Linked DNA regions of Stegostoma tigrinum. The protein of the gene in region 2 interacts with the protein of the main gene of each other region in a pairwise test. Links are inferred from orthologs where the notes say so. Each region holds a gene or a part of one and is shown on either strand. Other genes may lie near its edges.

Region 1 (15,498 bases), on a different chromosome or scaffold from region 2:
GCTGTGGGTACTGGAAATCTGAAGCATACAAGGAAAATACTGATGCAAGCGTCTCCAGCATTTCATCTTCATGAATGATCTTCCCAATTCTAGCTGAACATGATCAAACCATCATTATATCTAACATAGTTGCACAAACCTTAATAGCTTTTTTTCTTAATGATTGCAAGGTCGCTGGTGCATTTTTCATTCTGAACGGCATAAATTCATGCTGATATAGTCCACCTGGAATTACGACAGCTGATATTTCTTTGATTGGATTGTTAAATGGTACTTGCCATTATCCCTTTAATGAATCAATTTTTGTCACCAACCATGCTTCTCCAAGCTTTCCAATACAATCCTTCAATCATGGAATCAGATAAAAATCCACACTTGTTGCCACATTGATTTTCTGAGAATCTATGCAAAATCATTGCTATCCATCTAGTTTGATAGCATCACAATGGGTGAGCTCAAGTACTATGATTTGGTGCAAGGATGGCATTTCCCTTCATGAACTTGATTCTTCCCTCAAATGAGCTAACTTTTCTGACTTGAGTTTGTGAGAATTACATTAACATCATGTATGATCAAAGGTGTTTTCCCTGGTCTATTTACACTTGATTTATGAACAGCTGCAATAGATTTCATAAGACACCTTGGTAGTTTTCTGGAAGGCAGCATCATATTCCATCAAACATTTTAAGCACTTCCATTTGATTACTGGAGGGCTGACTTGAAAATTTTCAATTTCTGATTGATTCTCAAATGCTCTGATGTTTTTCTTTTACTCCCTACTTCTCTCACCACAATAAACACATTCCACTCATGGTTATCTTGCCTGTCATTGTAGAACTTTCACATATTAGCAAGACACACTTACAGATTCGTCTTTATGTCTGGAGTATTCACTCCATTTCACATCATTTAATTTCTGTTTGATTTGATATAGTCCAGTGAACCTCTCTTTTCATGGTTCCCCAGAGACAGGCAACACCAACACTTTGAATGGAATTTTCTTTTCTGAGGCTAAATATCATCATGATCCTAAAAATCCAGAAGGACTTCTGCTCAAGTTCTGTTCAGTTCTTCAGAGTTGATTATATATTTTACGACTCTGTTTTATTGCTGGGAGGACAGCAAGTCTTAGATACCACCAGGTCCTTCGACACTTGAACCACCAGGAGTTACATTTAAAAGACAATTTCACTCTATATCTCTAAGGCTATCAAATCAGTTTCCACCCAAACCTGCAAATAATAGAGAGTAGCCAGAAGGCAGTCCAACATTTAGTGGCTGCTCCATTGAATCGCTCTTCCAGGGTATGCATGAGGATAGGATTATCTTGTTCTCCAGGCATGACAACAAGATTCATCCTGCTGGAAAATTGCAAGGTGGTTTGGAGATTGCTGAAGACGTCAGCACACAATCGCACCAGAGGCATGATGAGATGCAGTTCCATAAATGGATGAATGAGCTACTCAGTCAGGGTAGGTATGACAGTCTACTCAGTTCTGTGTGACCCTAAAACTGTGTCCCATCATAATAAGCTTGCCCCCACACAAACCATTGGGTGTGGAATGCATTGCTGGAGAGGGTGGAGGAGTCAGCATCATTAGGGGCATTTAAGCAGCCATTAGACAAGGATATGGATGATACCATAATGTAGGGGTGGAGGTTAGATAGGCCTTAGGTTCCGGGCAGAATTTCAGCACAACATCGTGGGCCGAGGAGGCTGTACTGTGCTGTACTGTTCTATGTCCTATGTTCTATCACAGACACTCTTAGGTGATATCTCAATCACTTGCTTCATGTCTAATCAGTATTTTGAACTTAATTGCACTTCGCCATGTTAGCCAAAGAGTAACACAGTGATACTACATCTCACACATCTGCCATGGTTATACAGTCATTGAAGTCATATAGAGTCATACAGCACAGAAACATACCCTCTGGTCCTACCAGTCCATGCCAAACATAATCCCAAACTAAACTACTCCAACCTGCCAGTTCTTGTTTCATATCCCTCCAAAAATTTCCTATTCATGTACATATCCAAATGTCTTTTAAATGTTGTAATTGTGTCGGCACCCATCACTTTCCTAGGAGGTTCATTCCACACATGAATTTCCCTCTGCATAAAAGAAATGCCCCTCGTGTCTTTTTAAATTATCTCTCTTCTCAAGTTAAATAGTGTCCCTAGTCTTGAAATCCCCATCCCAGGGCAAAAAACACCTACGATTAACCCCATCTATGTTCCTTATGATTTTATAACTTCTATAAGATCACCTCTCAACCTCCTACACTCCGGAGAAAAAAGTCCAGCCTTTCTTTATAACTGAAACCTTTCATACCCAGCCACATCCTGGTAAATCTCTTCTGAACCCTCTGATGTTTGATAATGTTCTTCAAATAACTGGGTGACCAGAACTGCACACAGTACTCCAGAAGGGCCCTCATCAATGTCATGTACAACCTCAGCCTGACTTCCCAACTCCAAGACTCAAAGGACTGACCAATGAAGGCATATAAGCTAAACATTCACTCCTCAAACAGAAAGAGATCTACAACATTCAGTAGCTCATTCACCTTATAACTAGAATAATCTGTTCTTCAAACAATTTTACAAAAGGCTTGAAGAGCACAGAGGAGACAACCTCAAAACCTTGCTTGACATTCAACGCCTCATATAAACATGTCGTCATGCACAGATGTCTTATAAAGCTTGATTAAATTCCATAAATCAAGATCTTTAACCACACAACGCCACTTTTTATTCAAACCTCATTCAATCACAATGTTTCCAAAACACTTTCTTCTCATTCAGAACATATATATAGTGTCACAGCTCTGCAACTTTACATCTGTACCTGTCCCTATCAATACAAGCAAGCTGTTCACATTGCCATGTTGATTGCTTTATGCCTCTATCTTTCTACAGGACAAGATATTGCACAACCAGAGAGACATTGCAAAGAGAAGCAGTAGAAAGCCCAAAGAATAATTTTATAACCTTAAAAAGAGCTAAATCCTTCCAGAATTGAAAAAATGAAAGCCATTTTATTATTCACTTTTGAACCCAATACACTCCGTAACAGATGTTAAACCTCACATGCAAAGTGTGTGTTTTCTTTTTATTCATTCATGAGCTATGAGTATCGTTGGCTGGCCAGCATTTATTGCCCATCTGTAGCTGCCTTTGAGAAAATGACAGGGATCTGTGTTCTTGAATGCTGTGGTCTATTTAGTGTAGGTAGATCCACAATGCCATTAGGGACGGAGCTCCAGGACTTCGACCCAGCAACACTCAAGGAATGTTGTTATATTTCCAAGTCAGGACTGTGAGAGGATTAGAGGAGGATTTGCAGCTGGTGGTGTCCCCATGCATTTGTTGAACTTGTCTTTCAACATAGGAGTGGGCTTGGGTTGGGAAGGTGCTGTCTAAGGAGTTTTGGTGAAATTCTGCAATGTATCTCGTAGATGGCACACACTAGAGTGATTGAGTTTGGTGGTAAAGTGAATGAATGCTTGTCAGTGTGTCAATCAAATGGGCTGATTTGTCCTGGATGGTGCCAAGCTTCTTGAGCATTATCAGAGTTGAACTCATCTAGGCAAATGGGGAGTATTGCATCATACTCCTGACTGTGCCTTGCAGATGGTGAACAGGCGATGCAGAATCATGAAGTAAGTTACTCACTGTAAGATTCCTTGCCACTGGCTTGCCCTTGTAGCCATTGTATTTATATGGCTTATCTAGTTTAGTTGCTGTTCAATGGTAAGCCCCAGGATGTTGACTGTAGGCTCTTCAGTGATGGCAACACCATTTAATTCCAAGGAATGATGGTTAAATTCTCCTTGTTGGAGATGGACATTGCCTGGAATTTTTTTTATTCATTTGTGGGATTGCTGGTTGTGCCATTGAGAAATATATAATGAGCTGCTGCCTAGAACTACTGCAGTCCATTTTCTATAGGTAGATCCACAAGGCCATCAGGGAGGGAACTTATGTGATGTGAATGTTACTTGTTACTTTTCAGTCCAAACCTGTATAGTGTTGATATTGTTGCATTTGAACATGGGTTGCTTCAAAATCTGAGGAGTCACAAATGGTGCTGAACATTCTGCTATCATCAGCAAACATTCCCACTTCTGACCAGATGATGGAGGGAAGGTCATTGATGAAGCAGTTGAAGATCATTGGACCTAGGACATCACTCTGAGGAACTCCGGCAGAGGCATCATGGAACTGCGATGATTGACCTCAATGTCCACAACCAATGTCCTTTAAGCTAGATATGGCTGCAATCGGTGGGCACTTTTCCACTGACTCTCACTGATTCGAGTTTTGCTAGGACTTGCTGGTGCCACACTCAGTCAAATGTGGCCTTGATGTCAAGAGCTGTCTCTCTTCCTTCACCTCCGTTTTGTCCATGTTTGACCCAAGGCTGTAATGAGGTCAGGAGCTGAATGGCCCTGGTGGAATTCAAACTAGCGGTCACTGAGAAGGTTATTGCTGAGCAGCTGCTGCTTGATAGCACTGCTGATGACAACTTCTATCACTTCTACATGACCAAGAGTAGACTGATCGGCAATAACTTGTCCTGGATTTGTCCTGCTTTTTATGTACAAAACATACCTGGACAATTTCCTGCATTGTCACATAAGATGTCAGTGTTCTTTTTTAAATGAACTTGCTAACTAATGGCATAATAATTAATGACTGATTTAGTTAAACAATGAGGTTCCTTGATTTCTCTACCCAAGCTAGATTTACCTTTCGAGGTAAAAATAGACTTCCCTATTCTCCTACCAAAGCATCCAAACCCTCATGGTTACATCTAAAAGGATTTGTGCATATTGAAGTACATTTTCTTCCGAAGGTTGACAGGGCTGTTAAGAAGGCATACAGTGTTTTAGCTTCTATTAATAGAGGGATCGAGTTCCAGAACCAAGCGGTTATTGGTGAAGCTGTATAAAACTCTGGTGCGGCCGCACTTGGAGTATTGTGTACAGTTCTGGTCACCGCATTATAAGAAGAATGTGGAAGCTTTGGAAAGGGTGCAGAAAAGATTTACTAGGATGTTGCCTGGTATGGAGGGAAGGTCTTACGAGGAAAGGCTGAGGGACTTGAGGCTGATTTCATTAGAGAGAAGAAGGTTGAGAGATGACTTAATTGAGACATATAAAATAATCAGAGGGTTAGATAGGGTGGATAGGCAGAGCCTTTTTCCTAGGATGGTGACGGCGAGCATGAGGGGGCATAGCTTTAAATTGAGGGGCGAAAGATATAGGATAGATGTCAGAGGTAGTTTCTTTACTCAGAGAATAGTAAGGGAATGGAACGCTTTGCCTGCAACGGTAGTAGATTCGCCAACTTTAGGTACATTTAAGTCGTCATTGGACAAGCATATGGATGTACATGGAATAGTGTAGGTTAGATGGGCTTGAGATTGGTATGACAGGTCGGCACAACATCGAGGGCCGAAGGGCCAGTGCTGTGCTGCAATGTTCTATGTTCTATTTAAACTGCTGCTTCCGCTCAGCTTTAACACAATTATTTCTAGTTTTTCTTCATTCCAACTAAACGTTTTTTTCTGGCAGCGTTTTTATTGCATGCCCTCCACACCGCCAACCCCATAATAGTTACAATGCAGACAGCCATTACGAATTGGTAAAGAATGCAGGCTTTAACAGTGCATCAAGTTGGTGATATTGACATTTTAGTCATTCTAAATGAGGACTCAGATTTTCAATGAGCAGCTAATTAGACATGGGGTCATGTAAGTGTTACATTGATTTTTTACAATAGTATCACAAACCAAGGGAGAAGAAACAGAAGGAAATGTGAAAAGATGTAATAAACAGATTCTGATTTGTCCCCATTCTTATTAACACCTCCTTAGCCTCAGCCTACTGCACTCTACAGATCACAATCTCAACCTCCTGTCCAGACTTTCTCAAACCAGAAGAAAGGTTTGGCATTAACATGCACTGATAAGCATGTCGTTGCCAGCACCATTTTATTCATAGCCTTGTGATTTAATCTAATACTGGACTCAATTTCACTGAACGAATCACTTCAGTAGTACATGAAACTACTTCAGAGTGATCCAGGTTTGACAGCAGAAGACAGTCTGGATCAATACTACCTTCAATAGTATTTCTGTTATTTATTCCCTATGAGAATGAAAGCAGAAAACAGGAAAAATGGACATCCCAAGGGAACAAATGAAAACAGCTCAGCAAGGAAGCTTCTTGTGCGGGATCACTCATAGTGGCATTTTTCGTGGGCCCAGTAGAACTCAATGACAGGTCTGGCAGGTAAATACGACAACGGCATCCTGGCAAAACATATGTGAATGTATGCAGTGGATTGATATCCTCAACAAGAATCAGACTGGTTAAAGAAGCTCAATTGTATTCTTAGGTGTACAGGCTAGTGTGTTTTCAGACATATTGTAACCTCTCCTTCTGCTGTGCATGTCTTTTTGAGCAACTGTTGGTACCATTAAACATATGACTTTTGTAGCAAGGACCATCTCCATTACATGTGAACACATGGGGACCCCAGCAAAATGGGGTAAATCCAAACAAAATGGGTTTCTGCCACTTTTTCCTGACATTCGCACCCAAGGAAATGGCTGAATGTATTGGATTCATTGACCTCCTTCCTCTGATCAATGGGGGCAGAGGGGGTGCCATCAGCTGTGGCTCAGTTAGCAGCATTCTTACCTCTGGGTCATGAGTCGTACTCCAAGATTTCTAAACAAGATTGTACGCTAATGCTCCATATAGGTAATGAAACAGTGTCATGCTGACAGAAGTGGCACCTTTGAACTTGAGTAGCACGTGCATATAGCACACTGTCTTCCAGTCATGCAGAGCCCACATTCAAGACTGACTTGTGTGTCACAGGAATATTGGTTAGTGAAAGGCTGATCTGCTGCCTTTTGAAGTATCTGGTGGCTAATGGGAAGGTATGTGGCTTCCATTCTGCCACTTTCCGATCCCTAGAAGATTAGCTTTTTCTCTTTTCTGACCTGTCCAATGTTTCTACCAGAGGATTTCAGCACATGTGCTTTTTATGCAGACACCCAGCAACTGCTGCTTCTAATTCTGGGATAAATTTCACCTATTCCCCATGATGATGACAGAAATATGGGGAATCAAGGCAGAATGTAAATGAATAAAATATTGGGTGCCACAAAAATAATTGAAGTGGGAAATAAGTTGTAACAGCACAGATTGGTTTGGAGGAGTCAATGATCATTGAAAAATCATCTACAATGGAAAAAAAAGGTGCAACATAGACCAGATTGTTCTCCAGTGTTTTTTATTTAAATTGTTCATGGGATGCCAGCTGGCTAGGCCAGCATTAATTATCCATCCCTAAACAACTTGAAGAAGATGGTGATTAGCTACATTCTTTATCCTTTACAGTCCATGCAAATAGGTACACTTACAGCACTGTTCGGAAGGAAATTCCACCAAGGGGCCTGAGGCTGCATCTTTCAAACTCACGGCCACTACCATCTAGAAGGACAAGGGCTGTAGATAGATGGCAAAACTGTGTGGAGTCAGTCCCCACACTATAAGAAAGATGTAGAGACTTTGAAAAGGGTGTTGCTTAGACTGGACAGTATTAGCTGTAAGGAGAGGCTCGACAAACATGGATTGTTTTCACTAGAGTGTCAGAGGCTGAGGGATGACCTGTTGGAAGACCCTGGGTCGGATAGATAGTCAAAATCTACCTCCCAGGTCGAAATGTCAAATACTACAGGGCATAGGTTTAAGGTGAGAGGGGCAAAGTTTAAGGGAGATTGCAAGGAAAGTTTTTAACACTGAGGGTGGTAGGTGTCTGGAACACACAGCCAGGGTAGGTGGTAGAAACAGACGATAGCGATGTTTGAGAACAGTCAGAGAATAAAAGGACAAGCACCTTATGCAGACAGTTGGGATTAGTTCCCAATAGCATAATGGTTGGCACAGACATAGAGGGCTGAAGGGCCTGTTCCTATACTGTACTGTGCTATGTCAGTGTCTTGACTTCATTCATTTAGTGTCACAGGGTCAAAATCCCGGAACTCTCTCCCTAACAGTGTTGTGGATCTCACTACAGCAAATGGACAGTAACAGTGCAAGAAGGCAGCTCACCCCCAGTCTTCTCAAGGCTAAGCAGTAATTCTTGCCCAGCCTACTTTCATGAATGCACTTAAAAAAAAGGTTGGGGTTAATTTTGGAGCATCAGTATTTAGTACTACTACGAAAATGTTATCAGGGTTTATAGTCTTTTTAGTATTATATGCATCACTGGGCTACCAGCTGGAAGTCAAACCCTACAGAAGTCCCCAATTTGCCACCGTCATATCAGATTGACAGAGAGTATTTCCATCTCGTCCTCTCTATATTAATGATTGTCTTCAGATTCTGTCGGTTACAGTTTAGATGCAATGACAGCAATTGCAATGAGCAAGTTCTACACAAAAAAAAACAGAAGTGGCTGGAAAAGCTCAGCAGGTCTGGCAGCATCTGCAAAGAAAAAAAATCAGAGTTAACGTTTCGGGTCCGATGACCCCTCCTCAGAATTGAGGGTCACCGGACCTGAAACACTAACTCTGATTTTTTTTCTTCACAGATGCTGCCAGACCTGCTGAGCTTTTCCAGCCACCTTTGTTTTTGTTCCTGATTTACAGCATCCACAGTTTTTTTTATCGGAAATCCAACAAGTTCTGCAATAACTACAACTCCCGGAATGCAACGAGCGAAGCCGGGAGCTTCTCAGTTATAAATTATTACATCGCCGATCTTCGCGTATTTAGTTTAATACAAAAATAGTGGCGGCTCTAGTTTTAAAAAGATGTTGCACCTTTTGGCCCAGGATATTATTTTGGAATGTGTCAATGTGCTCTGAACTGTCAGCTGTAACCTCAGGAAGCTATTGTCAGCTTTCACACTGAGATATTGACCGCGCCCCCGCAGCCTGACATTGGGTTTGACTGTAAGTTTGCGAAGTATCTCAGTATCGTAAAATGTTTGCATTCACCCAGCGCTCGCAGTCCTTGAAGGGAAACAGTGAGTCACCCTAAATTTAAGCCAACCATTAATTTACTGTTCAAAAAGGCTGGAGTCTAAAAATGACGTTGAGTCTCTGCTTTGATTATTAGTCCCGGAAGTTCATCCAGTTTCGTGGCAGCAGTGCACTGCGAGAAGGATGAAGTTTTTAGGGGTTGCAAAGGAGCTCGGGTGGCCTGAATTCGGTTTCGTGCTCAGCATTGAACCGAATAAAGAGAGTAATCCTCGAGTTAGTGATTGAATCAATAGGTAAAATTCAGGGAATAGGCAACGTGGGCATGCATAAGCTGCTATCTGCAGCATACTTTGCAAGTTATTCATATTATTTAAGTAGTGGGACAAAATTTTATATATAAACGTGAAACAAGGCGATTTCTTCGAAAATTGAGTGGCGAATCGGTTAGCTAGTTTTTCATCCCACTTCATTACACGCACTGGTTGCCAGCTGGCAGCTTTTTATTGTATGTTTCTGCTGGAAGACTGACTGGATCCTGCACTCCATCCATATCGAGTTAACACAACAGCCTTCAAGAATCCGCACTAAAAACAGCACTGAACAAGACAAACATCATGTGGGAAGAAGAACATAAACAGGATTAGAGATAATAGGAACTGCAGATGCCAGAGAATCTGAGATAACACGGTGTGGAGCTGGATGAACACAGCAGGCCAAGCAGCTTGAAGAAGGGTCTGGGCCCGAAACGTCAGTCTTGCTGCTGGTCTGACGCTGCTTGGCCTGCTGTGTTCATCCAGCTCAAAACCTTGTTATTATAAATAGGGTTAGCAAGCATATCGTGTGTGAAAACTGATCTGGGAACAGAAAGAGGGACAAATTTTCTTTAGAAACCCTGCTGGAGTAAACAGGGCATTTGACCCAACAAGTCCACACCCACCCACCGAAGAACATCCCACCATACCCATTCGCCTAATCCTACATTTTTTCTGTCCAGCAAATCTAACCTACGCAACCCTGAACACTGGGTAATTTAGCACAGCCAATCCACCTAACCTGCACATCTTTGGGTTGTGGGAGGAAACTAGAGTACCCAGCAAAAACCCACCCAGACACAGGAAGAACATAGAAATGCCAGTCGCCCGAGGCCAGATCGAACCTGGGTCCCTGGCGCTGTGAGGCAGCAGTGCTAACAAGTTTATGAAGAGGATAGAACTAGGGAAATGGAGGAGAGACAAGTTAGCATATCCAAAAATTTGTAACATGATTATAAGAACAGGACAGTTTACTGGGAGTTGTGATTAAGAAGACACAAAGAAAAACCGAGGGGGCGAGCAGCTTCCGAAATCCATTAGGTTCAATGGCCTGTAGTTGACAGGGAGAAACACAGGTAGATGCCAGATATACCAACTATCCTTCCAGCTGTGTCAGGAAAAGTGATCCCTATTCCATATCCTCCATATACCAATCCTACAATACCAGACTCCTTTTGAAGAATAAGAAGGAATCTGTGATTAAAGTGATAAACTGTTAATATCAAAACCAGTGAGCTACAAAAAAAGAATTAGTTGCTCTTCCTCAAGCCTCATTCCAATGTAGAAATGCAAGGATAGAGTTCAATGCGCCAAGTGACTGGTGTCCCTCTTGCTGATGGAACAGATATGCTGTATGAAGCAGTTAACCACACTATTTGTCTCCTCAGTGTGGATAGGCCCACAGTAATGATTAGTGAATACAGTTATTAATTTGGCAAAAGTATGAGCTAATCACTGTCTCACCTGGAAAAATATTTAATGTAATTGGTTATTTATGGAATGAATGATAAATTATAGGCGATAAAGTAAAAATTGCTCAAACCTATCATGGTAGCAAAAGTTGTAAAAATCCTGAAATCATACTTTCTGCTTATACAATACATTTTTAAAAAAAATTCATTGTAGATATACAGATAATTTATTTTTAAATTGATTCTTGTGTACTTTGATATTTTGATCTTTAAGGGATAATTTATATGTATTTTATAAACATTTTTAATTGGGACACAGCAAATTGAAAAATGCCAGCTGTAAAGTAATCATTGTTAGCAATCAATTTTAAAATAAAAAAAATAGAAATTGTATGTTGACACCATTCTGTGTACAAAATGCCTATCAGGGAATCTTAACGAAATAAAAATGGAAAATGGTGGAAATACACAGCAGCTCAGCTAGTATTTCGAAAGGAAACAGCAGGTTAATTTGCTGTGTGTGACCTGTACTCAGAACTAGAGAATTAATAGTTTTGAAGGCAGATCTCACCTGAAGAATCCTATCTTTATGGTTCTGATACTTCCAGCATTTAAATGATATTTCTAGTGTTTGTGATTTTTTTTATAAAGGATTATTTCTGTTAATCAAAAATTGTGTTATTGTTTAGTATTTATAAGTCCTTTACACCTCACATTAGTTCCACATGTGCAACAGACTACGTTACTTGCATTGAGTGTAATTTACTCCCTGTATTTACTTTGCCAGATTAGGTGAAATACAGATGGCGAATGCTGAAAACAGTCCTGAGAAAGAAATGGTCATACAGTTCCTCCAGAATGCTGCTACAGGAGATACAGAAAAATTGTCAACTGTGTTAAATTATTCTCTGTCTCTCATCAACAAAGTCGATGAAAAAGGTTGGACCGCCTTGATGTATGCTAGCAGGAATGGACATTTTGAAGTTATTCAGCTGCTTCTTGAAAAAGGGTAAAGTGGCAGTCTTTAACGACTAGTTTTGGCAATTGCTCAGTGATAGCTGAGGGCACTGTGCTGTAGCTAAGCTTAGTGGTTCACATTCGATAAAAGTACTCCTATTTTAAGTAACTTTTTTGAAATTTAACATGACTGTGATGACCAAATTAAGATTGAGGTATTCTGAAACAGCATCTAAGCATCTTTTACTTGGCTTCTCGTAGAAATTGACAAATCACACGTTTACAGCCAATAACATTCTATCATCTAAAATTAATTAACAGAAAATTTGTAAACTAGGTGTGTACCATTTTATGGTGGCACTGGCAGAAAACAGCTAAAGCTGTTGTGGTAATTTTGTACAGTGCCTGAAGCAGCACCTGCACAAAGAGTGGTAAACTGAACCATGAACCACAACACGATAACTAATTTTGTTTAAATTTATGTGAAATATTAAAAATAACTGTTGAAAAAATTCCTTTTACAAAACAGTACAGATTTATATTAATAAAATTACCCTGATCTACAGTTTACAACCCACTTGCAATTCGAGATAGGAACATGATTATAAACTGTTCAAAGCATCTTCACTTTGCAGAACGGTTTCAACACTCCTTTTTTTTTGATTGAAATTTTCTGCATTCTTTCAAAAGCTTTGACATTTCAGTAGATATGTTTCAAGCAATGGCAAGTAAGATGTGGTAACTAGGGGATACGGTGGCTCAGTGGTTAGCACTGCTGCCTCACAGCACCAGGGACTAAGGTTCGATTCCAGCCTCGGGTGACTGTCTGTGTGGAATTTGCACATTCTCTGTGTGCCTGCCTGGGTTTCCTCCAGCCGTTCCAATTTCTTCCACAGTCCAAAGATATGCAGGTTAGATGGATTGTCCATGCTGAATTGCCCATTGTGTTCAGAGATGTGTAGATTAGTGGGATGGGCCTGGGTCAGATGCTCTGAGGGTCAGTGTGGACATGTAGGGATGAAGAGTCTGTTTCCACACTGTAGGGATTCTATGATCTATCATCTTACCATTAGTTATGAGTGAGGCACATTTGGTCTTCTGGACTTGCTGCATTGGTTTCTGCCAGTCGCATTATTGCAAGCTTCTATGTTAAAGAGATTAGAATGTGAGAAACCTGAGTGACTTGCAGCCAGGGCTACAAGTTGGAAGAATCCATCTTTGTAAGACTGTGCTATTCATTAGATAAATTTGCTGAGTCACTGCAGACCTCACAACCTAATCAATAACTTTGTTTCGGAGATAGCAGGAACTGCATATGGTGGAGAATCTGAGATACCAAGGTGTAGAGCTCGATAAATGCAGACCCTCCGGTCTACCCCCGAATCGTCAGCTTTCCTGCTCCTCTGATGCTGCTTAGCCTGCTGTGTTCATCCGGCTCTACACCTTGGTACCCTATAGCTTTGCATTGCGTATTGTTTACACACTGATTTCTATGTGGCATGTTCTAGCTGTTTTGGCCAAATGGCTGAAACACAATCTAGTTAAAATATTTTAGCAGTGACCAGCAAAGTTCCACTAGTCTCCTAAGTACCTCGGAATTGGCTGATAGTGTTAGTTTGTAAAGTCTTCAAAAATAATCTTAAAACTTAGGTCAGAACCCTGTCTTGTACTAAATCTAATTTAGGGCACTGTACACCTTTTGTTTTCCTCTAGGTGTGATAAATCTATTTCAAATAATTCAGGACAAACAGCACTGGATATTGCAGAATTCTGGGGACACAAGCACATTGCTGATTTGTTGGCAAACCCTAAACCTGATGCTAGATCAAGGATGTGGTACGATGGCCCAGAAGAAAATGAGAATTATTTTGGCAGAACTTTGCTCAATAGATTAAGTTTAAAAAGGACCAATTCTGATTGGATAAAAAACAAACAGATACAGCCGACCACTGTCTATATTTTATTTTCCAATCTAAATCCATTAGTTATTTCAGCAAAATGTGAAGACTCTGGAAAAACTGACATCCACCTCTGCAGATTGCAGTATGGTGATGTGGAGCAGCTCTTGGCTAATCCAGAAGTCACTTCTGTTTTCCTTGGAGCAGAGCAGCAGGGTGTGGCTTGTGCTAAATTTGCAGTAGGAAGTGCCTTAGCAGAAGATAATGGGCTTATTGCTTGGTTTGCAATAAATGCAGAAATTGTAGCTCCTGAAAACTTTAGGGTTAAATACCCAGATTGTCATTTTCTCCAGCCACTCATCCCACATCTATTGACCTTAAATAAGGAAGAAGCCGGTGAGTACTAATACATTTAGAAATGCAACCTGCACTCTGTGGATGTGAATAGGAAAATTAAACAGTCATTGCATAATCTGTATTTTCACTTATATTGTGCTTGAGTTGTAAAATTACAATAAAATACTCGATTAGGAATACTAAAGGCATGGAATAAGAAAAGGGTATCAGCATAATCCTTTTCAGTGTCCTGAAAATAGGTTCTGCAACACTTTTCCCTTACCCTCCCCAAAGTTAATTTAAAATTTGTATTCTGTTTGAAGTATTAACCAGTTGTCTTCCATGATATGACATTTCAATGAGTTCAGAATACAGGGTCCACAGTTTTCCATAACCCAGTTCATTATGTTTCCTGTTTTATCCTTACTGTCTTCGATGTAATTCCTAAGCAGACTGTTCTTGAAGATGTTTATTAGCACTGCTTTAAGTATTGTATCTGGGAGTCTAATCTACCTCTCTTAAAATCAGCTTAGAAGGAGACCATTTGTTTTCTGGTATCCATGCTGACTCTCTACAAGAGCAACCCAGGACCATTGTCCACACCTGCACCTTTCCTCTCAAGCCGTGCAAATCTTTTCTTGTCAGATCATTAACAAATCCCTTTTGAGAGGCACCAGTTGAATTTGTCTCATCACAATTCAAGCAATGCATTCCAAATCCTAACAATATTGAACATAAAAAATATCCTCATGTTGTCTTTGGTTCGTTCCCCAATTACTTTAAATCATTGTCTGGTTGTACACAGCGTTACTGACAGTGAGAATAGTTCCAGATCGCACATCATTTTTAAACACTTCTCACATATGCAAAATGCAGAATGGGGTCCTCCTCATCTGGAAATTTTTATAGATACCTTCTCTTTATTCTCATGTCCTGCAGTTCTACATTCAGAGATCAAATGCCAAGAATTTTCAATCCGTCTTATCCCCTTTAGCATTTGAAAAATCTGGTCCATATTTCTTCTTTTCACTAAAGAAAACCAGTTCAGTTCCACCATACATGATTGTCATGGGATAAGTATGGCTTCAGTAAGAGGGACTATTAACATGCATGGAAACTTTTTACATTCATAGTTTGAAGTTGTCTATTAACTTAGCACTTTTATGGCTGTATTCAGTTCACTGTCCTTGTAAATCATTAATGATATTATAGTTGGAACACCTAAATATTGAAGGCCCTGTTTTGAAGATTAGTTTTATGGTTTAAGTTCAGTCTTATCTAGCTCTTAATTCATAACAATTGACTTTACTAGGAATATGCTGAGTATTCAGTACTTCAGCCAATTTCTTAAATGCGTTTGGGTGGCCGTAGCTTTTTAAATGTTCATGGTATACTGTGATTGGTACTAGTAGATTCAATAATGCATTAATATATTAAAATTTAGAAAAGCAGGCGGTATTGTTATCGCAGAATCCACTGCATGCTCGTGCCATTTTTCAGGAATCTTGTGGTATAGTGGTAAATATAATTAGCTTATAATTATGATGACAGTTGAAAAGAATATCAGGCAAGGT
Region 2 (14,828 bases):
ACTGTTTCCTACGTGATGTCCCTACATAGTAACTCCGCAGAAATGGGGTACATAGCCGATCATATCATTATTTTTCTTCACATGAACTATTTAGTCTCATCCCTCTGCCTTGCATACTTTCAATTTCCTAGAATATTCCATTCAATTCCCTTTCAAAAATATCAATGGCCCCTGTGCTATTAATGGCATGTAATATTGTACTTTCCAATCTTATCATCTGGTAGGATGATAATCTCTCCCATTTAATTCTTCAGCAATTGTAAAAGTTTGCAGTCTTTTATTATCAGCTTGTCGACCAATGTCATTATCTATTATCTGCTGCAACATAATCCTTAAAGATCTCAATGTTTTCCTTGTCACTCCAAGTGTAAACATGTTCTAATTTCACATATTTTCGTAAACGTAACTCTCGAGCATTAACACATTCTAAAATCCTGTCTGTAAACGTACAACATCCTTGCCATTGCTCCTCAGAAATGTTGCATAACTATTTAGCAAATGTGCTTTCAGAAACCAAACACAAGTGTCCACAGCTTTGGTGAACAGAACTGAGATTAATTACTAATCACTCATTTTATTGTTCACCATCCTGACTTGGAAATATATCGCCATTCCCTCAGTGTCACAGGAACAAAATCCTGGAAATCCCTCCCCAACAGCATTGGCCTACCCACAGCACGTAGACTGCAGCTGTTCAAGAAGGCAGTTTACGATCACCTTCTCAAGGGCAACTAGGTACGGAAAATAAATGCTGGCCCAACCAATGACGCCCACATTCCCTGAGTAAATAAAAAAGGGAAGCACAGAAATATCTGTAAGAAGTTTCGCCCCCTCACACAATCTTGCTCTTCTTCCGATAGCTGTGGGATTAACACTGGAGGTTTCTAATCATGCCAGATCAAAGAGGCCAAGTATTTGATGGAGTTTAAGATATTAAACAAATGTCCTCCAAGTAATTTACAAGAAGGTCTTCTGTGTTAAGCAAAATGAATATTTGCAATTGACATGAAAAATAACAGGAACATAGAAAACAGAAGCAGCAGGCGCCTGCTCAGCTATTCAACAGGTCATGGCTGATCTTCTATTGCAAAGCATTTTCCCAAAGTATTTCCATATCCCTCAATATCTTGATATTTTTATGGAGTTGTAGAAAAAAAAGCAGCTTGCTGGGCCTGGATATTAAGAAATGAAAAACTGTTGAAGGCTGTGTTAATTGAAGATGTGGCAAAATCCCACGCAGCTTCAGCACAAGTATTTTGTGCGAGATTCAGACAGGGTTGAACACAAATAATTACATTTTAAGCATTTTCATGAAGGTGGTGAATAGGCAGTATTACAATATTAAAAGCCAACTGCTACTTCAATACTGAAATAACAGAAGATTCTTGAAACACCAGCAGGTTAGGAGAGAGAAGCCAAAATTTAACATTTCAGGTGATGAACCTCACACCAGGTGCAGTTGGCAAGCATAGACACTTGATTTTCATAACACTGGACACTGGGGTATAAGACTTTTTCTCTCGGAATACTTACATCAACCAAAGCCACTGCTGACTTCAGAGCTCACTGCCAAACATTTGTCAGCAGTTGGGAAGGTAAGTCGGTGTCAATTAAATTAAAGTCAACATTCTTCCGTTAGAATTTTTTCCCAAGCAGTAAACATCAAAAGGGAACTACAAGTATTAGAAAGAACTTCAGCAGTACAAGTGGAGGGGTGTGTACTTGGTACGAAATAGGACATACTTACAATAAATATCAACTCATTATTATTGTGAAACGTTTATCTGGCATAAAATGAAATATTCCAAGAGGTTCAGGTCTCTGTGTCTATCTATTTCAGAATAATTCATTAAATGATAGTTACCTGAATTTTTCTGGTTTGTAACTGGCTTCCCTTCAGCAGGAATGACATGTTTGAACACTTGTGATGTTTCCTGAACAACTTTTCTTTGTAGGTAAGCTTGTAAAAGGTCACCACTGGTTGCTATATTCTGAGCAAGGCTATATTGTGGCACTTCTGAGAAGTTTCTGGTGAAAGCCGCCAACTTCTCTGGACAAAGACCTATGACAAGTATCAAAAATGACAGTCAGGTTTGATGTCTCACAGAAAAATGCACTAAGTTCTTTTCAACACTAGTTTACATGCATTGGATTTATTGATTATATTCTGTCGCTTTACTGTTGCAAGCAAGGAACTATGCTCTGAATGTGATGCTAAAATTGCACCAATGATTTTGAACTGTCTTTGAAATGTTGTAAACCAGATCAAGTTGCTTAAAATGTGTGGGTAATTCTTTTGCAATTTCAAGCATTTACTGCAGACTAGATCAACCAGAGCTGTATACTGTGAAACAAACTACTTGAGACATTCAACAGGTTTTGCAGCATCTGTGGAGAGAGAAACAGAGTTAATGTTTCAAATCTGATCACAGTTTTTTGAAACAAATTTATATTTGTAAGTTTGGATAAGGATATCACACAAACTGCAGATGCTGGCGTCAGAGGCAATACAGTGTGGAGCTGGAGGAATACAGTAGGTCAGGCAGCCTCAGAGGTGCACAATTTATACCATCAACTTTGTTGCTCCTTTGACGCTGTTTGACCTGTTGTGTTCCTCCAGCTCCACATGTATTGGGTTGGATAAGGAGATCTGTTACCCATGCGTAATTTTCTACCTGTGCCAAAATTTTCACTAAATGCTGATGTAACTCTATCACTGTGAACTTATTTGGATCTATAAACAGATTGACTCTAGCTAGCCTTTAGCTTAATTCAAGTATAATACCCAAATGCAACAAAATTAGATCTGATTTTACTTTAACCATTAATTCAGATTCTAAAAAGACTGGCGCCAGGTGATTGGAAAAATTATAGTTACTTACAAATATATTTCATTAGCATCTCAATGCACTACACAATAAATTACTTCCTTTCGTGATGTAGCTGATATATATTTCCACAGTCTGACCTTTATTGCTAGGTCACCTGAACACACAGGGACTTGCAGACAGAAGACTTTGGATTTAATAGCAACAAATTTTGGAATGAACAACTTTTTACATGTGTCATCACAAAACACAAAGGAGAAATTTGCAAAGCTTGCTATGTTGCTAGATGGAAACAGAAGGTTCCAGAATCAGGTGCAGAGTTGGATGAACACAGCAGGCCAAGCAGCATCAGAGGAGCAGAAAGGCTGACGTTTTGGACCTAGACCCTTCTTCAAAAACAAAAAAAAGGGTCTATTCCCAAAATGTCAGCCTTCCTGCTCCTCTGAAGCTGCTTGGCTTGCTGTGTTCATCCAGCTCTACACCTTGTTATCTCAGATTGTCCAGCATCTGCAGTTCCAACTATCTCTACTCCCTCTCGAGTTCCAGAACCAGTTCTATTGCTTTATCTTGGGCCATAATCTTGACCAGTAGGGCTGCTTTATTAGAAACAGTACCGTGCAATTGTTAATGCACATCAATAATTACAGCCTCAGTGCTGCCTCTCCTAATAAGACAACATTCAGCTGCCCATGTGTCCGCAATCAATTGCTATAGGGAGGTAGCATCTTCTGCAAAATGAAATAAACGACTGCATTTCTTAGCACAATTGATGGTTAGGGAAGGAGGTGGGGAGAGGATGAGTGAGAAATATCAGATTTTGAGAGACTACACTCTTAAAAGATTTTTTTTAAAATTTACTGGAGACAAAATAAGTGACTCAATCATATGACGTGAAACATTGTGATGCTAAATAAAAACAGAAAAATCTGCAGATTTACTGTAAATCAGGGACAAAAAGGAAGTTGCTGGAATAGCTCAGCAGGTCTGGCAGCAGTGAAGAAGAAAAAAACTCAGAGTTAACAGTTTCGGGTCCAGTGACCCTTACCCAGAATACATTATATGAAGCTTGTGGCCAGCAGTATAAATCACTGCAGAACACTATGTTCCCAGGTGGCTTAACAATAAATGAAATGTCAGACTTTGGAAATATTCAACTATGTCACTGCAAAAAAAAAGTAATTTATCGAATAGCAAGTTGAGACACTAATGAAAGATATTTTATAGCTAGCCATAATGCAGTAAATGGCGTTTATATAAATGACTCATTACCAAGATTGTTGTGCAAGGAATATCTGAGAATTAAGAGGTAAGTAAGCTAGTTTTTTTTTAAAAAAGCTAGTTGCTACAGGTATTGTCTTTATTTTACTCAAAGTTCACACTACAGTTCATAATGACGATACCATTGTTCACGTTAAACTGCGAGCGTCATGGCCATGCAGTAGTCAGATTGTAACAGTGCAATTTGAGATTCTCTACATAGGGCCTGGGATCTGTGTGACCAGAACATCCAAGTGCATATCCCTTTAGCAGATCAGACTAACAATCATCAATTTGCACTGCAGTCTGAAGCAGAAAGACCATAAGACATAGGAGTGGAAGTAAAGCTATTCGGCCCATCGAGTCCACACCGCCATTTAAATCATTGCTGATGGACATTTCAACTCCACTTCCATGCATTCTCCCCATAGCCCTTGATTCCTTGAGAGATCAAGAATGTATCGATCTCTGCCTTTAAGGCATCCAACGTCCCGGCCTCCACTGCACTCCGTGGGAATGAATTCCACAAGCTCACCACTGTCTGGCTGAAGAAATGTCTCCTCATTTCAGTTTTAAATTTACACCTCTAATTCTAAGGCTGTGCCCACGGGTCCTAGTCTCCCCACCTAACGGAAACAACTTCCTAGCGTCCATCCCATCTAAACCATACATTATCTTGTAATTTTCTATTAGATCCCCCCCCCCAACCTTCTAAACTCTAATGAATACAATCCCAGGATCCTTAGCCATTCATCATACGTTAAACCTACCATTCCAGGGATCATCCGTGAGAATCTCCGCTGGACACGCTCCAGCACTAGTATGTCCTTCCTGAGGTGTGGGGCCCAAAATTGGACACAGTATTCTAAATGGGGCCTTACTAGAGCTTTATAAAGTCTCAGAAGCACATCACTGCTTTTATATTCCAACCCTCTTGAGATAAGCGACAACATTACATTCACTTTCTTAATCACGGACTCAACCTGCAAGTTAACCTTCAGAGAATCCTGGATTAGCACTCCCAGATCCCTTTGTACTTCAGCATTCTGAATTTTCTCACCATTTAGAAAATAGTCCATGCCTGTATTCTTTTTTCAAAAGTGCAAAACCTCACATCGAATTCCATCAGCCATTTGCTGGACCACTCTCCTAAACTGTCTAAATCTTTCTGCAGCTTCCCCACTTCCTCAGTACGACCTGCCTGTCCACCTAATATTATATATCAGAAAACAAGAAAAAACTGAATTATGAAACAGATTTTTAAAAAAGTAAAAGCATCTCCCATCATTATAAATTGAAGGAATCAAACTCCACACTTGTAAAACTTATTCTCAGTGTTTACAGAGGTCGCTTGGCAATAATTAAGATTTATCACACTTAAATTTTTGCTTACATGGGAACAGGCAGGCCGTAACTTGTACTGACAAATTTAAGAGATTAACAGAATTTAGTAAATTCCTAGAGTTCGAAACTACATAGTTATGTGTATGTATATCCAGAATGCCACAACACTCATTACTGGTCAGATACACCACGTGGGAAAATCTAGGAAACACAATTGAAAAAAGCTCCAGCATTTTGTTTGTTAAAGCAGGATTGTTTTAAAACTCTGGGAATGCTAAGATCTATCGTGCGAGAACAGAGACTTCATCATACCCCCCCAATCTATCTGAACACCGAGCCTGGAGAGATTCTAGTTCGATCAGACCTTCAGATTGTCTCTGATGGAAAGCAGCTTCCTTATTTCTGCGATAATGGGAACTGCAGATGCTGGAGAATCCAAGATAATAAAATGTGACGCTGGATGAACACAGCAGGCCCAGCAGCATCTCAGGGGCACAAAAGCTGACGTTTCGGGCCTAGACCCTTCATCAGAGAGGGGGATGGGGTGAGGGTTCGGGAATAAATAGGGAGAGAGGGGGAGGCAGACCGAAGATGGAGAGAAAAGAAGATAGGTGGAGAGGAGAGTATAGGTGGGGAGGTAGGGAGGGGACAGGTTAGTCCAGGGAAGACGGACAGATCAAGGAGGCGGGATGAGGTTAGTAGGTAGGAAATGGAGGTGTGGCTTGGGGTGGGAGGAAGGGATGGGTGAGAGGAAGAACAGGTTAGGGAGGCAGAGACAGGTTGGACTGGTTTTGGGATGCAGTGGGTGGAGGGCAAGAGCTGGGCTGGTTGTGTGGTGCAGTGGGGGGAGGGAACAAACTGGGCTGGTTTTGGGATGCGGTGGGGGAAGCGGAGATTTTGAAGCTGGTGAAGCCCACGTTGATACCACTCCCCCTCCCATCCTCTAGATGGCAAACTATTTCCACTCCCCCTCCCATTCTTCAGATGACATGTCCACCATGGGCCTCCTGCAGTGCCACAATGATGCCACCCGAAGGTTGCAGGAACAGCAACTCATATTCCGCTTGGGAACCCTGCAGCCCAATGGTATCAATGTGGACTTCACCAGCTTCAAAATCTCCCCTTACCCCACCGCATCCCTAAACCAGCCCAGCTCGTCCCCTCCCCCCATTGCACCACACAACCAGCCCAGCTCGTCCCCTCCACCCACTGCTTCCCAAAACCAGTCCAACCTGTCTCTGCCTCCCTAACCTGTTCTTCCTCTCACCCAGCCCTTCCTCCCACTCCAAGCCACACCTCCATCTCCTACCTACTAACCTCATCCCACCTCCTTGACCTGTCCGCCTTCCCTGGACTGACCTATCCCCTCCCTACCTCCCACCTATACTCTCCTCTCCATCTTCAGTCCGCCTCCCCCTCTCTCCCTATTTATTTCAGAACCCTCACCCCATCCCCCTCTGTTGAAGGGTCTCGGCCCAAAACGTCAGCTTTTGTGCTCCTGAGATGCTGCTGCGCCTGCTGTGTTCATCCAGCCTCACATTTTATGATCCTCATTTCTGCACTGACTGACTGCTGGTGCTTCAGTTATTCCTAAATCTGGCCTGACCCATTAGGCATTACATAGACAGCTACAACCTGAAAAGAACGTTCTTCGCTCTTGTACTTGACTCATATGATCCCAGATCAGAAGTTCCAACAGTCCAAAAGACCCAGATAACACAGTGTTGCAAACGGACCAGCTGAAAGGAAACAACTGCCGAAAACTAACTTGCGTTCCAACCCTCCCTCTCTTTGTTGCTTTTGTTTTGCCATTCTTATTCCTTTGCAAGTTAGCAGCATTGCCCGTGCCAAAAAGTGACAGCGGTGCAGGTCCAAGAAGCAACAGTGCCCCGGGAATTCGGCACAAAGAAGATGTTGTAACCCTGTAGGTCAGAGAAATACATACTGCCTGCAGGCCTTAACGGTGATTCAGCATTTACCGAATTCTGCACAAACTCCATTCGCGGGTCGGAGCAGCTACCATTCACACAAGCAGACCCCTAAGCACATACCCACAGACACACACTGCATGGGACTACAGATATCACAAAGGGATAGCTTAGTTCCTGCTCTCCAACAAAGACAGGCTGCGGAGAGGGACAGGAGAACGTTCTCACCTGCTGGCATCCTGTAACGAGGCTCACTCAAAAGATCCCTTCTACAGAAGACACTGGTTTCTGCAACTTAAAATAGCCTGAGCAGCTGCAGCGTCTTAGAGGAATAACCGGAAACAGGAAACTGAGACAACTTGAAGCAGTCCAGAGACTGAGGCAGCCTGGTGTCTGTCAGGAACTGGCGGGGAGGGGGCTAAGCCTGGCCTTTGTTCAACAGCGGGATCGGGACTACGTACAATGTCATTTTTGGAAATTGAGATGTTGTAATTTTCGCTCAAATGGCAAAGAAAGAAAACACCCAACACTGTTACACACCTTGACGACAGAATGCATTCCATTTGTACAGAGGCTGTGCGCTCTTTGCTGCGGGAAATAACACAAAACTTTAACGATTTGGTGTTACTTCAACCAAGAAAACCTCTATCCCTAGCTAATTGCAAGATCGACAAAATAAGTTAGGAATTTATTTAATAACTTTGATTGCTTTTGAAGGATACCCCTATAAATAGGAAGAGCGGAAAGTACTGTTATTCGCATGTAACTGAGCTTCCGAAATTTCAGAATTTTCGAAGGATCACTTCCGTCCGAAGGAAAGCATAGCTAAAACCCAGCTGAGTAAAAGGTCAAACACTGCCGTTCAGGAATACCCCTTCACTTTGCGGATAGCAGGAAAAAAAGAAAGCTTCTAAGGCTATATAGCTGGCACCGGTAACAGTGCATTGGAATCTCAGGAGCGCAAAAGCTAACGTTTCGGGCCTAGACCCTTCAACAGAGAGAGGGATGGGGTGAGGGTTCTGAAATAAATAGGGAGAGAGGGGGAGGCGGACCGAAGATGGAGAGTAAAGAAGATAGGTGGAGAGGGTGTAGGTGGGGAGGTAGGGAGGGGATAGGTCAGTCCAGGGAAGACGGACAGGTCAAGGAGGTGGGATGAGGTTAGTAGGTAGGAGATGGAGGTGCGGCTTGGGGTGGGAGGAAGGGATGGGTGAGAGGAAGAACAGGTTAGGGAGGCAGAGACAGGTTTTGGGATGCAGTGGGTGGAGGGGAAGAGCTGGGCTGGTTGTGTGGTGTAGTGGGGGGAGGGCACGAACTGGGCTGGTTTAGGGATGCGGTGGGGGAAGGGGAGATTTTGAAGCTGGTGAAGTCCACATTGATACCATTGGGCTGCAGGGTTCCCAAGCGGAATATGAGTTCCTGTTCCTGCAACCTTCGGGTGGCATCATTGTGGCACTGCAGGAGGCCCATGGTGGACATGTCATCTAAAGAATGGGAGGGGGAGTGGAAATGGTTTGCGACTGGGAGGTGCAGTTGTTTATTGCGAACCCAGCGGAGGTGTTCTGCAGAGCGGTCCTCAAGCTTCCGCTTGGTTTCCCCAATGTAGAGGAAGCCACACCGGGTACAATGGATGCAGTATACCACATTGGCAGATGTGCAGGTGAACCTCTGCTTAATATGGAAAGTCATCTTGGGGCCTGGGATGGCGGTGAGGGAGGAGGAGTGGGAGCAAGTGTAGCATTTCCTGCGGTTGCAGGGGAAGGTGCCGGGTGTGGTGGGGTTGGAGGACAGTGTGGAGCGAACAAGGGAGTCACGGAGAGAGGGGTCTCTCCAGAAAGCAGACAAGGGTGGGGATGGAAAAATGTCTTGGGTGATGGGGTCGGATTGTAGATGGCGGAAGTGTCAGAGGATGATGCGTTGTATCCGGAGGTTGGTGGGGTGGTGTGTGAGAACGAGGCGGATCCTCTTTGGGTGGTTGTGGCAGGGGCGGGGTGCGAGGGATGTGTTGCGGGAAATGCGGGAGACGCAGTCAAGGGCGTTCTCGACCACTATGGGGGGCAAGTTGCAGTCTTTGAAGTACTTGGACATCTGGGATGTGTGGGAGTGGAATGCCTCATCGTGGGAGCAGATGCGGCGGAGGCGGAGGAATTGGGAATAGGGGATGGAATTTTTGGAGGAGGGTGGGTGTGAGGAGGTGTATTCTAGGTAGCTGTGGGAGTCGGTGGGCTTGAAATGGACATCAGTTACAAGCTGGTTGCCTGAGATGGAGACTGAGATGTCCAGGAAGGTGAGGGATGTGCTGGAGATGGCCCAGGTAAACTGAAGGTTGGGGTGGAAGGTGTTGGTGAAGTGGATGAACTGTTCGAGCTCCTCTGGTTTTCACTATGGACGTCCAGTCCCTATACACCTGTATTCCTCATGCAGATGGCCTCAATGCCCTCCGCTTCTTCTTGTCCCGCAGGCCCGACCAGTCCCCCTCCACCGACACCCTCATCCACCTAGCCGAACTCGTCCTCACCCTCAACAACTTCTCTTTCGATTCCTCCCACTTCCTACAGACTAAGGGGGTGGCCATGGGCACCCGCATGGGCCCCAGCTATGCCTGCCTCTTTGTAGGTTACGTGGAACAGTCCATCTTCCGCACCTACACAGGCCCCAAACCCCACCTCTTCCTCCGTTACATTGATGACTGTATCGGCGCCGCCTCTTGCTCCCCAGAGGAGCTCGAACAGTTCATCCACTTCACCAACACCTTCCACCCCAACCTTCAGTTCATCTGGGCCATCTCCAGCACATCCCTCACCTTCCTGGACGTCTCAGTCTCCATCTCAGGCAACCAGCTTGTAACTGATGTCCATTTCAAGCCCACCGACTCCCACAGCTACCGAGAATACACCTCCTCCCACCCACCCTCCTGCAAAAATTCGATCCCCTATTCCCAATTCCTCCGCCTCTGCCGCATCTGCTCCCACGATCAGGCATTCCACTCCCACACATCCCAGATGTCCAAGTACTTCAAAGACTGCAACTTTCCCCCCACAGTGGTCGAGAACGCCCTTGACTGCATTTCCCGCAACACATCCCTCACACCCCGCCCCCACCACAACCGCCCAAAGAGGATCCGCCTCATTCTCACACACCACCCCACCAACCTCCGGATACAACGCATCATCCTCCGACACTTCCGCCATCTACAATCCGACCCCACCACCCAAGACATTTTTCCATCCCACCCTTGTCTGCTTTCTGGAGAGACCGCTCTCTCCGTGACTCCCTTGTTCGCTTCACACTGCCCTCCAACCCCACCACACCCGGCACCTTCCCCTGCAACCGCAGGAAATGCTACACTTGCCCCTACACCTCCTCCCTCACCGCTATCCCAGGCCCCAAGATGACATCCATATTAAGCAGAGGTTCACCTGCACATCTGCCAATGTGGTATACTGCATCCATTGTACCCGGTGTGGCTTCCTCTACATTGGGGAAACCAAGCGGAGGCTTGGGGACCGCTTTGGAGAACACCTCCGCTGGGTTCGCAATAAACAACTACACCTCCCAGTCGCAAACCATTTCCACTCCCCCTCCCATTCTTTAGATGACATGTCCATCATGGGCCTCCTGCAGTACCACAATGATGCCACCCGAAGGTTGCAGGAACAGCAACTCATATTCCGCTTGGGAACCCTGCAGCCCAATGGTATCAATGTGGACTTCACCAGCTTCAAAATCTCCCCTTGCCCCACCGCATCCCAAAACCAGCCCAGCTCTTCCCCTCCACCCACTGCATCCCAAAACCAGTCCAACCTGTCTCTGCCTCCCTAACCTGTTCTTCCTCTCACCCATCCCTTCCTCCCACCCCAAGCCGCACCTCCATCTCCTACCTACTAACCTCATCCCACCTCCTTGACCTGTCCGACTTCCCTGGACTGACCTATCCCCTCCCTACCTCCCCACCTATACTCTCCTCTCCACTTATCTTCTTTTCTCTCCATCTTCGGTCTGCCTCCCCATCTCTCCCTATTTATTCCAGAACCCTCACCCCATCCCCCTCTCTGATGAAGGGTCCAGGCCCGAAACGTCAGCTTTTGTGCTCCTGAGATGCTGCTGGGCCTGCTGTGTTCATCCAGCCTCACATTTTATTAACAGTGCATTGGAAATTGACTTTCACATTACATGCAGGCAAGGAAGGAGCTCAAAAATGGTCTGAGGAGAGCCAGGAGGGGGCACGAGAAAGGCTTGGCAGAAGGAATCCGGGAAAACACAAAGGCATTTTACACTTACGTGAGGAATAAGAGAATGGTCAAAGAAAGAGTAGGGCCGATTAGGGATAGCATAGGGAACTTGTGTGTGGAGCCTGAGGAGGTAGGGGAAGCCCTAAATGAGTTTTTTGCTTCTGTCTTTACGAAAGAAACCAACTTTGTAGTGAATGAAACCTTTGAAGAGCAGGTGTGCATGCTGGAATGGATAGAGATAGACGAAGCTGATGTGCTGAAAATTTTGTCAAACATTAAGATTGACAAGTCGCCAGGCCCGGATCAGATTTGTCCTCGGCTGCTTTGGGAAGCGAGAAATGCAATTGCTTCGCCACTTGCGAAGATCTTTGCATCCTCGCTCTCCACTGGAGTCGTACCTGAGGACTGGAGAGAGGCAAATGTAATTCCTCTCTTCAAGAAAGGAAATAGGGAAATCCCCGGCAATTATAGACCGGTAAGTCTCACGTCTGTCGTCTGCAAGGTGTTAGAAAGGATTCTGAGGGATAAGATTTATGACCATCTGGAAGAGCATGGCTTGATCAAATACAGTCAACACGGCTTTGTGAGGGGTAGGTCATGCCTTACAAACCTTATCGAGTTTTTTGAGGATGTGACTAGAAAGGTTGATGAGGGTCGAGCTGTGGATGTGGTGTATATGGACTTCAGTAAGGCATTTGATAAGGTTCCCCATGGTAGGCTCATTCAGAAGGTCAGGAGGAATGGGATACAGGGGAACTTAGCTGCTTGGATACAGAATTGGCTGGCCAACAGAAGACAGCGAGTGGTAGTAGAAGGAAAATATTCTGCCTGGAAGTCAGTGGTGAGTGGAGTTCCACAGGGCTCTGTCCTTGGGCCTCTACTGTTTGTAATTTTTATTAATGACTTGGACGAGGGAATTGAAGGATGGGTCAGCAAGTTTGCAGACGACACAAAGGTCGGAGGTGTCGTTGACAGTGTAGAGGGCTGTTGTAGGCTGCAGCGGGACATTGACAGGATGCAGAGATGGGCTGAGAGGTGGCAGATGGAGTTCAACCTGGATAAATGCGAGGTGATGCATTTTGGAAGGTCGAATTTGAAAGCTGAGTACAGGATTAAGGATAGGATTCTTGGCAGCGTGGAGGAACAGAGGGATCTTGGTGTGCAGATACATAGATCCCTTAAAATGGCCACCCAAGTGGACAGGGTTGTTAAGAAAGCATATGGTGTTTTGGCTTTCATTAACAGGGGGATTGAGTTTAAGAGTCGTGAGATCTTGTTGCAGCTCTATAAAACTTTGGTTAGACCGCACTTGGAATACTGCGTCCAGTTCTGGGCGCCCTATTATAGGAAAGATGTGGATGCTTTGGAGAGGGTTCAGAGGAGGTTTACCAGGATGCTGCCTGGACTGGAGGGCTTATCTTATGAAGAGAGGTTGACTGAGCTCGGTCTCTTTTCATTGGAGAAAAGGAGGAGGAGAGGGGACCTAATTGAGGTATACAAGATAATGAGAGGCATAGATAGAGTTGATAGCCAGAGACTATTTCCCAGGGCAGAAATGGCTAGCACGAGGGGTCATAGTTTTAAGCTGGTTGGTGGAAAGTATAGAGGGGATGTCAGAGGCAGGTTCTTTACGCAGAGAGTTGTGGGAGCATGGAATGCGTTGCCAGCAGCAGTTGTGGAAGCAAGGTCATTGGGGTCATTTAAGAGACTGCTGGACATGTATATGGTCACAGAAATTTGAGGGTGCATACATGAGGATCAATGGTCGGCACAACATTGTGGGCTGAAGGGCCTGTTCTGTGCTGTACTGTTCTATGTTCTATGTTCTAAATACTTTGCATCATCATCTGTCGGCATGTTATTTGTAGCTGCAGCTGTGGAGATTATCCATCCTGAGTGTCACTGCTGTTTCCCAAAAAACCCAATGTGGCACATCTTGCTGTGGGTGTATAACATATTGTAATGCCTTCAAGTAGCTGTTTAATAAATGTTAGTATTAGTAATGGTAAAAGCGAATAAAGAACAGCAAAAATGCTGCATTTGCTGCTGGGACTAAACAAGGGTTGCCTAACTTTCCAGGAACAAGAGATTTACAGTTGATGAATGATGACTTCCCCCATCCTAGACCTAGTCAATTAAATACATTCTGGCTTGTTGTGCCTGACACTGCAGCACTCTGTCACAGTGAAGCTGATGTCCTTCTTGCTCAATATTCCGCTTGGAACCTGTCCCAGCTCTTAAGTATCTATTACACCTCTTCTTTGCCTGCTACAGTTGTAGCATAACAGGATTTTGCAGGGCCCTCTGTCTGGACTGTACTGGAAGGCCAGACCAGACTATTCCAAGCCATCAGAACAGCAAGGCTGTCCTCTAATCCATGTTGGCCTTGGTGGAAGAGTGAACTGCATTGCTCACCTTCTGTGAATGTTTGCATAGTAAGGCCATGCCCTATGGTTACAGAGCATAACCCTTATCTCCCAGCATCTGTCCTTTTACAGCATCTAGCCCTTGAACTGAAGCAGGAACATGGGAATTCCGAAGGATATAGGTATCTTGGCATCTTCCAGGGCACCTGTTGCAGACTTCTAAGATGCGGGTGGAATGGAACTCTTTTCCATTAATGAGTCCATCACTTTAGGATATGGTAATGTCACTCCATATTGTACCGTGGAGGGAAGCTAGTGACGTTGGCAAAGCCTGGACTACAGCACTGAGAGTCATCACAAGGAACCAAGATGAAGGAGTGTGATTTGGCACAAATTGCATTGGTAACAGCCTTGATCCATTTGTGGGTTGAGGGCTGAGAGATCCTACAGATACCCCGTGGATCCTTGGAAGGATCCAGTTCCATAAAGACTTAGCATATAGGGTGGTCACCCAGTAATATTCCCTCTAAGCTGTGCTGCTGCATGTGCAATGTTCTATACATGCTGATTGATGTCAGCACACCAATCATGGCATTGATTCCTGGTTGCCATACATGGGCCTTGGAGGCTATTTGGTTGAAGCACTTACACAGTGTTTGCCACATACACTGCTGGTACATAGTGTAGGTGTGACATTAATATTGCATGGTGCCAAACAGCAACATGCCTATTCCCTTAAGTGGTCATTATTGATGTAGCAGGCCAGCTGACTTTATCTCTACACTAAAAAGCAGAGATAGAAATCGTGTGAAACTCTGAGCACTGACTGAGGCAAAAAAAAGGCAAGACAGAGATGCTGTGGGCATCCAAGTATGA

The links.
Region 1: the proteins of blmh (region 2) and nudt12 interact in binary tests that used the Homo sapiens proteins (3 or more experiments, as listed by UniProt). The two-hybrid records come from large-scale screens. The link is inferred for Stegostoma tigrinum from reciprocal best matches to the Homo sapiens genes BLMH and NUDT12.

The regions. Positions count from the first base shown.
Region 1 is NC_081356.1:83,479,781-83,495,278, forward strand, and holds the start of nudt12 (peroxisomal NADH pyrophosphatase NUDT12), read left to right. Parts: upstream 1-8,927; 5' UTR 8,928-8,980; exon of another isoform or gene 8,981-9,054; intron 9,055-9,190; exon of another isoform or gene 9,191-9,303; intron 9,304-11,520; 5' UTR 11,521-11,536; coding exon 11,537-11,742; intron 11,743-13,403; coding exon 13,404-13,984; intron 13,985-15,498. UniProt on the Homo sapiens protein: mRNA decapping enzyme that specifically removes the nicotinamide adenine dinucleotide (NAD) cap from a subset of mRNAs by hydrolyzing the diphosphate linkage to produce nicotinamide mononucleotide (NMN) and 5' monophosphate mRNA.
Region 2 is NC_081380.1:30,031,865-30,046,692, reverse strand, and holds the start of blmh (bleomycin hydrolase), read right to left. Parts: upstream 7,876-14,828; 5' UTR 7,596-7,875; coding exon 7,586-7,595; intron 2,063-7,585; coding exon 1,865-2,062; intron 1-1,864. UniProt on the Homo sapiens protein: The normal physiological role of BLM hydrolase is unknown, but it catalyzes the inactivation of the antitumor drug BLM (a glycopeptide) by hydrolyzing the carboxamide bond of its B-aminoalaninamide moiety thus protecting normal and malignant cells from BLM toxicity.